Linked DNA regions of Styela clava. The protein of the gene in region 1 purifies or fractionates together with the protein of each later gene. This does not show direct contact. Links are inferred from orthologs where the notes say so. Each region holds a gene or a part of one and is shown on either strand. Other genes may lie near its edges.

Region 1 (7,081 bases):
AAACCGACGATCTATCTCTCTCCTATCGTGATCGTTGCGACGAGAAAACGAGAGAAATAGCTTGCTTGATTTCGGGTTATCGTCTGCGTGTTTTGGACGACCATTCGCATACTTCGGTGGGCCTTATCACGCCACTGTGACGTCGGAATGACGTAATTTATCGGTGACGTAGTCAGGTGGGGGTTAGGATTGACATATGCAAAAATTGTTGAGTCAGGCCAACTAGAAGTGGATGTGGTACTAAACTATACCAGACCCTAGATATGCTCTATCTTCTAATAGATAGTTAATAAATATATCAAACAAGTACTGTCTGTAATAACTAATAGGTTTTTCAATTTAAACAAAGTAAGATGAATATGATATGAAAATAAACACTAATACACAAGAAAACTACTAACTTGCTTATACTGCTCAATTCCAAAACAATATTATGAGAAACGTTCGCTGGATCTGTAATAATTCTATTAAAATAAGAACTGCATGATGCCAAGATAGCTTTATGTGCCTTGAATTCTGCATCCTGAAAATAAACAAAACATTTGGTTCTCAGAATTTTACATTTTAACAAACATTTTCATGTTAATATCTTTAGTAAGAATTCAGTTTATTCTGTAGCATTTCAGTAACTTAGCCTAGTTTAGATATTGGCAGAGCAAATAGTAATCTGATAATATCATGGACACTTGAAGATTCTGAAATAAAAAAATTTGACTGATTTCTCTCCCAGATATTTTTTTAACAAACTGAAGTGAATAGATTTGTATCAGACCGAGCAACTATAATACCAGTTTCATCAATTCAACTGAAATCAATGGCACCAAATTTAAATAAATCACCATAGAAAATTGTTTATATATGGTCATGCTTTTTTGATAAGCACTTCATTCTGGTAGTCCATAGCACATGAATATAACACTATCAAGTCAAAATTGAAGCTTTAGCAATAAAACAGATAACTTGACCGGTGACCATATCAAGTGATTGATCTTCCATTAGCAATAATTCAACATTAATAAAAAGCTTAATGTATATGCAATTGTTCAATAAAAGATTGGATTATATGGCTCGCAAAATAGACATGAACAAATTTCTATATACAAGAGAAAGATACTCCACTCAATCTCTTTAAACATCACCGATTTCTTGCTTAATTTCGCTTAATTCGGAATTTTGACTATCAGTTATAAATAGAAGCATACTACTGGTGCAGGGAAAACATGGATATCTGTAAAGCCACATTTCATTATCCTGAATTGAATCAAAAGTGATATATTTCTAAACAGTCTATTTTAGCCGAATCGAAAGTAAGATCAATTTTACAGTGTAAAATCACTATGCCACACAAATATATATGATAAGGTTTAGAAGAAAAAAAAACAGAAATTTGAACTTTTTTATGAATAAAATATTTCTGAATTCATTTTATTGAGATGCACCGTTACTGAACAAAGGTTGAATGAAATATATTAACTCCTTTATTAAATACAAATGGGTGTTGAGTAGTTTCCACCAGTAATGGAGAAATATGTCTTGCATCAAATCATATTAAAATTAAATTGATATAATATGATTGCATTTTAATAATTGAGATAACATCTGTCCTATTATAGAGTTTGAATGTTGTTATTACACTCAGATGGAAAAAGTAAAAGAAAACAGAAGTGATAGCCATCTTCCATTAAAAACTAAAGAAGCAGAAGCAAAACTAGCTTAATCATGTTTTGAAAAGAATTCGTGCGTGCGTCAGCAGTGGGATGACTCATTCCAAGACTACGAATAACAATAAGAGATGTCTCCTGTCTGACTGTATGGAACAATACCGTTACCTAGAACTAGAGCAATATTTCATCACTAAACACGAGTGAGGCACACTATGAACTATAATACAACAATACAAACCTTTTTAAAACTTTTAAACAATGCTCCTGATCTAATAATTTGACATACCTGAACCATGATTGATATATCACATAATAATCCACATTTTCTCTGTTCATTCAGCGTTATCAAGACATTTCCAATATGAATATTTGATTCATACACATAAGCTGGCGGTAAATCGCAATGCATGGCACCTAAAACACAGACAGAAAATAAATTTAATACAGCAATATGTATCAGAAGTACGGGTATGTATGACCAAATACATCATAATGGGCGCTCCAGAAGTATGTGTACAAATATGGAGGTAACTAATTTTGTTCGCCTATTTTACATCAAGTTGTGTAAAGGGACTCAAACCTCAAGGAGGATATTCACTTGCTAACACAGCCAGTCCCCAAACTGGTAATAGAACTAAAATAAGGAAATTCGAAATAAAATTTTGGCCTAACCCTAAGCTGGTACACATACTACGGGAGTACCTCATAATGGATCATTCAGAAACTCCAACCAAAACAAATGTACAGAAATGAAATCATTTACAACAATAGTTCAATAACAATTACACAACAAAGTGAGTGACGGAAACTACTGTAAATATACTTTCTGCTTTTCTCAGCATATTTATATAGACTTGTTGGCTGTAAAGGGTGTTCAAAATTAACTGTAATTTTGCAATTTTCAATCAAGGATGTCCAAAAATAACACTACTATTCCGAGCAGATTCTAAAACGATACTCTTAATAAAGAATATCAAACATTAATTCAAATTGAGCTGAACTAAAACACATAGAGGTCACTGTACATTGAATTTAAAAGTTAGAATGGCCATGTCATAATTCTATTCCGTGAGTAGTTATAAGCAGCTGAGCGAAACTTGTGGGTTTGAATTTTAACAGAGAAAACATAACCTTGATGAAAATAATAGGTTTCAGGAATTTGCACTATTATATAATATAAGATTTTACATAATATCAAATCATAAAAAAATACTCCAGTACCTGCCATCTTCAATAATGAAAGTTCAGATCAAATCCTTATATCCTTCTCTGTAGTCAAAATCTATCTTCGAGTTAATCCATAAATACCAATCTATAGTATCAATATGAGTACAAGTCTGAAATTAAATTAAAGAAGATAGTTATGGATATGGTGTTTCTGTTTACACCGATATGCATAAATTAGACAACCACTTGGTGTTCGTGTTTCAACTAATTGGAAATCCAAAGTGATGAATAAGGGATCTAGTTTACTCAAGAAAAGTTTGACGAGTTACCGGTGGTCCTTCGGTATGTAATCCTAGCGGTTGTGTGATCTCAGTGATATTAGTTATGGTTAGGAACTGAAATCTATGAGAATGTCTTTATGCTTTATCTATTTATATGTCTTCACTCTGTTTGTATGGATATATCATTTCAAAATTATAGTTGGGTAGATTAACTAACAACCATAATAAGTCTTCAATAATGAATAATATTTGAGGGGGTCACAAGCGTTTGTATAAAACCCTTTTTAGTTATATTTTAAACTTTTATGGGTCTTGTTGTTTTCCTGAAATTATTGCAAGTTATCTCCTATTATTGCCACTTTTTATTGCAATTCATCCTAAGTCTATAATACTTCTATAAAATTTTCAATAAATTTACAATAAATTTCTCCAGAGCTGTTTTGATTTCCTTCCCTCTCATAACTGCATTATTGGACCTATGGATCATTTTGTTAAATTATTGTTGTTGTTAGTAATATTGGTATTTTTTCTTCCTTTTGTTGTTATAAAAAGTTGTTTTTCTCTATAAATATAGATTCAATTGCTTTGAAATTTTTAGTGGTTAAAGATTGTTGTCGCTGGAAGTGTTTATTACTTATATTATTTCAAAAACTTATGTGGAATCTATAAGATACATTTTTCACTTCAAAGTTTTGTGTGATGACGTCATCAAAAAAAGCACGTTTTTATTAAACTGCCTTATGCCACCGGGTGACAGAATGTGTTTACTATTTATCAATGGCCAATCTGAAAACAACTAATAATCAGAAGTATCTCAAAGTGCGACAACAGTGGGGCGATGCTCAAGGTGGTATGTGAAAATGGTCATTTGGAGATAATAGGGTAACTTACGTTATAATATACATCACCTATAGCAGCGGTTCCGAAAAGGGTGCGACGTGACAAATTCGTCACAAAAATTAACAAAATTTGGTTAAACATAATAACTAACATGTAACTGAATATTTTACATATTGTATTTATTATAAATGTTCTATTTATTTTTATTTTAAATAATGTGTATATAAATCAATAAATTCATTCTACCTTTCTATGTCGTTTACTTTCTGTTACGTGGTATTTACCTCTATTGTTACGTAACAATAGAGATAGCTACTGCTTGCTGCAATAACGCGAGCTGCAGTTTATTTATAAGCTGAACAGTATTTAGCGAACATGAGTGATTTGTTTTGCATTTCAAAGAAAAATCAGGCAGAGATGGGGAAGAAAAGTTGACCATCTGCCTTTATTCCTCAGGCTGTCAGGCCTGCATGTTTACAAACTCCAATAGAATAAACTACATATTAACAATCACAAATTGAGTTTTACTCAGAAGCAGCATTTTTTTGGTGTAAGTGTGACGTGAGTGTTTTTTCCTAATAAATTGGCGCCGCATGAAAAAAAAGTTTGGGAACCGCTGACCTATAGTATTGACGAATACTGGAATAAGTTAAAGTAACCGACTAGAATTATCTGCCAGTTAGGAGTTGAATGAACATATGAAGTATTGGTCTGAATAGAAACTTCAAATAACAATTTTTGAAATGGTTAGATTTTTAACTGTCTCCCAGTATCCTCTCAACTTTTTCTAGATTTTCTCCAGTTTAGATTTCTAGTTAAGACAAAAAAACTAATATGCAGAATCAACAATCTGACAATGAATTTCAATGAAGTGAAATATCTTATGACTTGATTCTTCATGGGAAAAACCTTGAAGATCTATTCACAGTTGCAAATTCAGGGAACTCTCTCTGTCTCGAAACTCTAAAGGCTGAAATGCCGTACTGTGTTAATAAATTTGGATTCAGAGATTAATCTATAATTAATCTGTCATACCACATTCTGCCATTTAAATCAGTGTATTCAAGTATTGCTTTCTTGTTTCCGAAATTAGGTTCAGTCAATACAGAAAGTACCTAGGCTAGATCAATATTTTTGTCTCAGAAGACCAAGGTCACTCTAGTCCAGAATTTCATAGAAGTCAGAAGGTTAATCATGCATATATTTATAAAAATAAGAGAGCAAAATCTGAAAAATTGTGGGCTGGCGTACAGGCGCAACCCTGCTTTACAACAAAATGCAAATGCCAGAATGCCATTGTCCTGTTGTCAGCACATGCAGACATGACTTAATTAGCCTATTTCCTAGATACTGAGATAGGATTTTACATATTTATCCTAACGGCCTCTCGTCTGGTTACCATTCCATGTCGGGTATGGGATTCAGTAGTTACAGAGTTACGGTATTTGCTTTCGGAAGCATGGACTCGATGGTAGAGAAAGCCGTAACCTGCCGATTAGTGGAAAACTTGAATACCGTAACCTCCTGAATAACTTCTTTTCACTTTTTAGATAATGTGAAGAACAGCTCTGAAAATAACTTCACGAAACAAAACTTCTTGAACTGAAATAGAACCTGTGATACCGGTACTTGCGAAATTGTGAAGTGGAACCAATTCTTGCCGCGAGGAAGGCCTGTTGTTCTAAATACAATATAATGATATAATCCAATACAATTTTATTTCTGATGTCCGGATTAACACTAGATGTCGATGGAGCGCAGGAAAATCAACCTTAGATTTTTGGACGTCAGTGGACAACAATTACTAATTTTACATGTGTATATTATCCTCAAGTTAATTGAAAAGTACATTGTGTGATGTGTCTTGGGTATTACTAAATCAACAGTAGACAGAAATATTACAGTTTATTATAGGACAAAATAAGACATCAGTATAGATAGAGGCACGGGTCGCGTGACTTTGTTTACTGGACGGCAAAAAAACAAAACGTCCATTTGGCTCCTTTCAGTTGCAAGTCGGATTATACGTTCCCGTTTTGTTTGGCTGTTGAAAATGGTTATTTCGTATTGTTCCGCTGGCTGTACGTATAGTATAGACCAGTGGTTCCCAAACTTTTTGTACCATCGCCCCCTATAGTAGTTTATACAACTTCATCGCCCCCCCGGCACTGCAAAAAAAATTGAAAGTCTGAAACGAATATATTACAGACCAAATAAGGAGACAAATCATAGTTTATAGTGTTTTTTAGTGAGATGGATGAGCTTGGTGTTTTTCAGCGAGTTTTTCATTACATCTAAAATTACCCCGTTTACTGATGGAAAGGCGATTTAGTTGTTTTGATAGCAATAGCAGCACGGCTAAAAACCCCTCTTTCACCATATCAGAGGTCGGAAATGAAAGAATTCAGGGTTCTACCTCCTCAAAAACCGCCGTGTACTCTTGCATTTAATTCCGTAAATTTACCCCATTTCACATTGAAATAATGAAAACAAAATTAATTTTCCAAAACTTATAATAATGATTTTCGTAAATCTTATTCATCCCTGCAGCCTGATGACCTTCACCAAAATACATGATATATATATATATATAACGGTCTCCGGTAAAATGCATCCCCGATTCCTCATCTTACCACGTCCTCCAGTCCGATCACTCTATAGAATTAATCAGCCATTTGTTTTGGATTCGTGGACTCGGATGGCCTAGGGGTCGGTAAATTTTAAGTCGCTCGAGGGACAAAATTTAGGGTTGCTATTCTTTTGCGGATCGCATATATTTTTTGAAAGTTAAAAACGGAACATCGTGCGGAAACTGCGACAATTCGTGAACTCAACTGAGTCGTCGTATTAAAAAAATATTACAATGACATTCAATGTGACACTGACTTGTTGCTGCATAACGCTTGATAGGATCACGACGCCAAGATTGGAAGATTTTCTAAATGGGCATCACTAATCCTAGTTTTTTGCTTGTTCTTTGTAATGTTCATTTTCGAAAATAATTGTTCGCACAGATATGTACTTCCAAACATTGAGGTGAATATTTTCGCATGGTTTGTGAAATTTTGATAAAGATTTTCTTCAAGAAGATACATTCTTACAAAAATTAAGCCGTGGTGAATCTCTCGA
Region 2 (6,842 bases), on another chromosome or scaffold:
ATATGAAAAGAACTATAACGCCATAACAAACAATCTTGATTAGCTAATAATCATTGGTCGGCAGAGGAATTGCATGTTTAAGGATGCCGAAATATAATTTCTGGAAAGTCCGGATCCGAATATCTTTGAAGTTTTGTATGCGGACCTTCGGTAAAAATAGTTGAGTAGCCCTGGTAGTATATGTACCGGGGCATTTTCCCTTAGGCCTCCACAATGGTACGTGCAGTACTGGAGCGCCGTAAGTTTTGTACGAACAGTTCAGATTTGTTGAATTCACAAAAATACGAATCAAAACAAAATATAATCGGGCACTTTACCATGCATTTTGTGTCCACTGATTGTCATGATATTTTCTGATTAGTATTGCTTTTATTTCGTCAACACAGCCGCAGATTAAAATGATAATCATTAAATTAATAATAAAGCAAGGTGGTGAATATGTATTTTTGATTTACAAATATACTTTAAGTATATTTTTAATAAGTACTAAATCAAATCTTGTACTTTCTAGAAATTTATAGCAGATTGTAGGATTTTTCTAACGACGATAACAAAAAATTTGCAAGATCTCTAAAAGTATGTATCAAACCTAAATATAATCGGGCAATATGTTAGCAGATTGCCGTGGCATTTTAAAGAAGTAATGCTATCATCTTGTCGTAAGACGACGCAACCGCGAGTTACCATGAACGCAATTAAAATAGAAAGACAATTTAAATTCTCGTCGTCGTCACTAAAAAGTCAACTGTTTTAACGGACGCGTAATTGCGGCGAAATTCTGATTTTGAAATTCGTTCAAATTCCGTTGTGTTTGATTTTATTGCTTCTTCACACAGAGTACGGTTACAATAAGCGGCTAAGCGCACCTTGAATCCGCAAAGGTTTTCGCTGGTGAGAAATTGGTCCGCGACCAAAAAAGGTTGGGAAACGCTGCGCTAGTGAATCTGTATGCATATGATGCAAGAATGCTGTAGCAGGAATAAAAATACCATACTATGCAGTTCAAGAGTCCTGCTGCACACTAACACAAATTTATTTCTGTAACATACAACAATGACAACTGCTTGTCTGAGAAAGTCTGATTTTGTTCATACGAATTGTTACAGAAATACATTCGTGTTAGTGTGCAGCAGGACTCTTGAATTGCATAGTTCATTATAATTGGCTGAAATGCTTTCTCGCTTGGGCTTGATAACCAGCTTTGGCTCCCCGCGTATTTCCTTCCCAGTAAAACTGTGTGGTAAATTTTATCTCATAATTCTTTTTTCTATCGTTGATTAATCGGGATTTTGTTTCTATGTGTGTTCGTATCTCTACTTTTTTATGATTCAATGTAGTCGGCTAATGTTGATATTCTGCTTCAATGCTTCTATTATCATTACTGTTTATTGGTTTGTCTGTTTATGTCAAGCATTTTTGGAATATATTCAGACTGATATAGTTGGGTTATTTACACGTAACATTTTACGTGTTAGTAAGTTAGTTAGTTAAGCTTTACGTGATACCAACATCAGAATCGCGTAAGTTTTAACGATTTTATGGGCCATTTGTCAAATACCCTGTGTTTCCTTCTTTAATTTTTGCAGTTGCATATCGGAATCACATTCAGTAGTTTGTAGTTTCTCGAGTTCAAATGCATGTATGTGCTTTAGAAAGCGCTAGACACGTACCGGTGTCATTTTCGATTAAATTTTATTAAGAGCAAATATGTTTTACGCAGGTGAGTGGAAGTAGTATGTATTTACGGTGGAAGCGAATGAAATAATACCGTATCTCGTAGAGCGTCATCAGATCCACCTCTGGGCACCACCTCAGCATGATGCGTGATTTTTCATGTACTTTTCACAAAAATCTTAAGCTGTTCAATATCTGCAATAATTAATTTTTAATGTATGAATTATATAAATTCACCATTTCCTGAAATAAATAACGCAACCATTCACCCGGTCCAAATAATTCCGTTCCGTTAATAAGCACAATCGTTTTCGCGGTATTTATTTTTCCCTTCAAACTGCCAGACGTTATTGAAGTTAATGGCCTTGTGCAGATCAAAGTGAATAAAGTCACTTTGGTGCAGATCAACTAGAACAGGGGTCGGCAACCTTTTGTCGCTCGCGGGCCAAAATTAAGGTTGCAAGTCATTGGCGGGCCGCACTTATTTTTAGAAAGTTTAAAAACCTAACGGATGGTACTTCTTAAAATAAAAATCAAGCAGTGATACATCTCTTGAATAGAATATAGTTTTATTTCCTCATTGCATCTCATAAAATTCCATTTCAATAATTTCAGCGCCATTGAACCCTTTGCACTTAGCATCAACTTTTCTGCGTTTTGTTGCCATTTGCCTAATTATAATTAAATTGTGTGCTCATTAAACGAGTAATTGTGAATTATATAATTGTTAGGTTATAATATAATTTAGTCTAAAGAATATATTCGTCAAAGCGGATGTTTTGTTACTATAATTTAGTGAAGCGTCGCGGGCGGGATCCGGCCCGCGGGCCGTAGGTTACCGACCCCTGGCCTAAGTAGTAAAATCGGAAAATGTGAAGTTACAAAATCACAGCTAAGGGGTCGTTGTCTTTAGAGGCGTCCCACTTTGATGTCACAAAAATATGGTAACCCTAATTATAAACGGATGTTTTGTTACTATAATTTAGTGAAGCGTCGCGGGCCGGATTATAGTGCTCCGCGGGCCGGATCCGGCCCGCGGGCCGTAGGTTGCCGACCCCTGAACTAGAAATAGTTTGTTGTTTTATGGACTTTTTTTGTTATGTCTGCGGGTTCGATGTTAGCATCTACCTGTACCAGTCCATGTCGGGTACCGGTATAGGATTAGTTTGTCTGTTAATTGTTGTTTATTTCGGAAGCATGTAGTTCTACTTCTAGTGCAGTAGCGTTGGGTTTACCGGTATATTAGTCGGTGTCTAGGCAGCAGATCATTAATGTCAGAATGTTGAAAGCATTTTGTCAATTGAGGAATTGTAGTTTAAGTATTTTGACTGTGTAATCAGCACCAGAAATGAAGTATTATGAAATTACCGGTACGGCAGTTACCGGTACCGGTATCTAATATCAGAATATATCGGTATATCACAAATAGTGTATCAATTTTGTAATCAGTGGATGTGTCACAGTGTCAGGGTAAAGGCGCGGCGGTGTGGCTCAATGGGCTAAGCGTTAGGCAGTTAGGAATACGCTCGCCACCGCACCTCTAATTATTCTGCGTGGTTCCGCAGGTCAGCAGGTTCAAATCCCATGTAGGGATGGTTATGTGCGAGAGGATTGCTGGACTCCTCGCCGTCGTTGGGTGGTTCACGTAACCGCTGGTCGGTTACGGCTTCCTCCACCACCAAGCCCATGCTTCCGAAAACAAACAATACAGTAGACTAAAACTAATCCCATTTGGTAAGACTTGGAATGGTAACCGGACGGGAGGCCGTGGTTCGCCATATGGCTGTATGGATAAGCCGGCTTTTCTTTCCCCCAGGATAAATATGTAAATTCTATCCCTCCTATCCTACTGTACGGTACCGTATATTAAGAAGGAGCACTCACTCATGGCTTTCGTTTCTTTCGCTAAAATGCAAAAATATGATTGCGGCTGTACAGCGTACAGGAATAGCATGAATGGTTGAATGGATTATACAAAGAACAGAAGAATTAGGCTTCTAACATCTGAACATGGAACATGCTGTACCAGGGCTCTCTACCAACAGACCAATAATAAAAACTATCCAAGACCATTGGGGCATTTTGATCTCCACTATCTGATGATCTGAACAAGTAGCTTATTAGAAATAACTGAAATTAGATTTTTGTTTTCTATTATGTGTTTCCAGTGTTATATATCTCTATGTGAATTACTTTCAAATTGTTATAATAGTTCCAACTTTCTGCCATCGGCAGAAAAATGTCATTTCCAAGAGCACAAGTAAAACGTTTCAATGAACAGCCAGGTAAGTTTCACAATTACCGGTACTCTGATCGATATTTTATAAATACCACTAAACATTGAAGTCCTATTTTAGTTGTCATGAAAAAGTCTAGACAGGCCTGTGGAGTCGTATGCTTCATTTATCCTTCTGTTTATTTATTATGTTGTTTTATAGTAATAAAGCAAATAGCCATATTTATAGCGGATCGACAAAATTTAAACTGCAGTGGGGAACCACTGTTCTACAACACATAATTTTTATCTGTTTAATGTGAGAATTGTTGCCATATATTGTTTTCTTATATTCTTAATTTCCAGGATGTGCACCTCCCCCTGGTCATTATACTGTGCCTGATATAAAAAAGAGTGGTTCTGGTATCTTGTCTTTTGAAACTGGAGGACAGAGATTCAAAACAGAGAATAAATCGGAGAGAGATGCCATTGATGATGTCACAGAACAACTTTCTACCGCATTAATCAATCACAATACACATTCTTCATCAAAAAAGAAATTAGATTTTGCTGTTCCTGCACCAGTTTCAGTGAGTTTTATGTTATATTTTAGTAGTTTCCAACCCTTTTGCAATATTTTCTACCATTTACCCATCTTCATTCGTTCCTGGCTAAAAACTCATTTTTTGTTTGTTGTTCTCATTAGCTAGTGATATGCACAACTTGTATGCGTCTCTGTTCTCTTTTCTCATACATTGAATAATTTATAAAATGTGCGCATAAACGAGTGTGAGATATTACGGAATAGCTAAAACATGTACTACATGCAATAACAAAGTAAAAATTCCCCCAAGGTTGGGAAACCTGGTTATATTCGATGTTTGCCAGCTATTTCACCTCATCTACATCTTTTTGGGGGTATGAATATTTATTTTCAAAAAACAATTCTGCTTTTTATTCAGACTTGGTTGTTGATGATATTCAAATGTGAAAGATTCTATATTCCTTGAAGTGAACATTCCCTAATATGTAAATTATTCTATCAATGTAGTTATTGTGTATTTTATTTATGTGACATCCATAGATGGCTTTAGAAAAATAAAACCTCTTTGTTTATTTATCTTAAAGTGGAATAAACACTTTCTGGTATTGAAGTGTTCCTTAAATTTTTAATTAGATCGTGATCAATAATATTTTTTCGTTCACATAAATAGTTCTGATTTGTTGATTTAGTATTAGAGTCTTTTTTTAAAGAGCAACATATAGAGCAAATAATTTTGAAATAGTATCTTTCAATTTATTTTGATGATGTACAGCAGTGAATTCGATTAATCCTATCAGATATCCCACTTTATTTTTCATTACGTAAAATCTAATGTCACTAAAAATGTCAATTAACAATGACTAAACCTTTTTTACAATATTTACCAGACGAAATCAAAATCCAATTCAAATAAAACGACACCTCATCCATCTCCATCTATGAATGGCAAAGATAAACAACGATATGAAAAAGAAATCCGAAGCCTGGTTCAACAAATTAGCGAACAAGAGAGAAAATTACAACTCAAAATTCAGGTAAATATTTTTGGTCATATAGGACATAGGTTCTCAAAGTGCTCCGTACGGAGCCCCAGGGCTCCGCGAGAGGAACCCAGGGGCTCCGCGAGCTATTCAATTACTTTTCAAAATACTGACTAATTTTGTAACTGTTTAAAGAAGCAATAACAGCTTTGATAAAATCTGACAACAATATGGCCTCGAATTATGGCAAAGAGGCTGAATTAAAAAATGACATTATTTATAAGCAGGAGCGCAGCCAGGATTCTTAAGAGGGGGGTGGTTCAAAATTGGAATCGGAAATTACCGCGCAACATTCTTCGCGATTAAAAAAAACGTATAACGAGATTTCTGTTGTGTGAAATATTCAATCCATGACCAATGCGAGCATTTAACGTGTCTCGTCGTTATAATGTAATTGTGCTCATCGTTACTCACGTTCGATTCGATATTACTATTAGGATTACTAAAATGGAAGAATATTATTCTGAAATAACATAAAATATGTGATAAACTGCCAACTATCAATAAATTGGAGTCGTATTTTTGCGATATTGGGATTTGTCAAACTTGATTTGTTCTTTCGCACTTGAGATTATTTTTAAGCAAGATATCGCCCTTTAAAAAAACACAATGTCTGGGCAAAATACGAACAATTGAAATTTATTTTATTGCATTCGGCTCCGTCGGTAGTTTCAGAATGAAAAAAGGTACATCGCGGATCCCGCGCACAATTGATTGCGTGCGGCTCCGTCGGTAGTTTCAAAATGGGAAAAAAAGGTAAGCCTTGCTCAGGAATATTAATCCGAAAGTAACAATTTTAACATTTATTTTGGGGCTCCGTGAATAATAGTTAACCTTTTCAAGGGCTCCGCAACATCAAAAGTACCCCTGATATAGGACATTTGCTGCAGAAGTTGTCAATGAGGTATTTAATGGCTTCTGCTCCAGAGTCATAGTTTTAATGTACTATGCAGGCAGTGGAACTGGAGCTTTATTTTTCACTTCTGAGTCCTGAACATGGCTGTGGGACAAAAATACATTTGTCTTAAAAATTTAAAATTAAATTTCAATCAATTTATAAAAAAAATTATACTCTAAAAGGGATAGATTCTATTACTTTTATAAAATTATATAAATAGGAAAAACTAATTTGACTGTTTGCTGCTTGAGCTATTAAACTTCCTGGCAGCTGCGACTACAGCTCTATCAATTATGATAAACTTGACTTTAACAAACGCTAGGGGCCGGCTTCCCAGCCATTGTGCAGAAAACCAATTTCCCAAATACTTATTTAAAAACCAAGAAATACTTTTGGCAATAGGCAGAGTTATCAATAAAGATGTAATGCGATGCCGATGGATTTTCGAATTTTTGTCTCAATGAAATCAAC

What was found.
Region 2: the proteins of transcription regulator protein BACH1-like (region 1) and uncharacterized protein LOC120332374 purify together in Homo sapiens (affinity purification with mass spectrometry; 6 studies listed by BioGRID and IntAct, counting the BioPlex papers as one, with this or other methods). This does not show direct contact. The link is inferred for Styela clava from reciprocal best matches to the Homo sapiens genes BACH1 and HMMR.

What each region holds. Positions count from the first base shown.
Region 1 is NC_135250.1:11,746,484-11,753,564, forward strand, and holds the start of transcription regulator protein BACH1-like, read right to left. Parts: upstream 3,024-7,081; 5' UTR 2,893-3,023; coding exon 2,886-2,892; intron 2,079-2,885; coding exon 1,951-2,078; intron 524-1,950; coding exon 402-523; intron 1-401. UniProt on the Homo sapiens protein: Transcriptional regulator that acts as a repressor or activator, depending on the context. Binds to NF-E2 DNA binding sites. Plays important roles in coordinating transcription activation and repression by MAFK.
Region 2 is NC_135262.1:5,431,910-5,438,751, forward strand, and holds the start of uncharacterized protein LOC120332374, read left to right. Parts: upstream 1-3,814; 5' UTR 3,815-3,913; coding exon 3,914-3,959; intron 3,960-4,255; coding exon 4,256-4,479; intron 4,480-5,320; coding exon 5,321-5,467; intron 5,468-6,842. UniProt on the Homo sapiens protein: Receptor for hyaluronic acid (HA). Involved in cell motility. When hyaluronan binds to HMMR, the phosphorylation of a number of proteins, including PTK2/FAK1 occurs.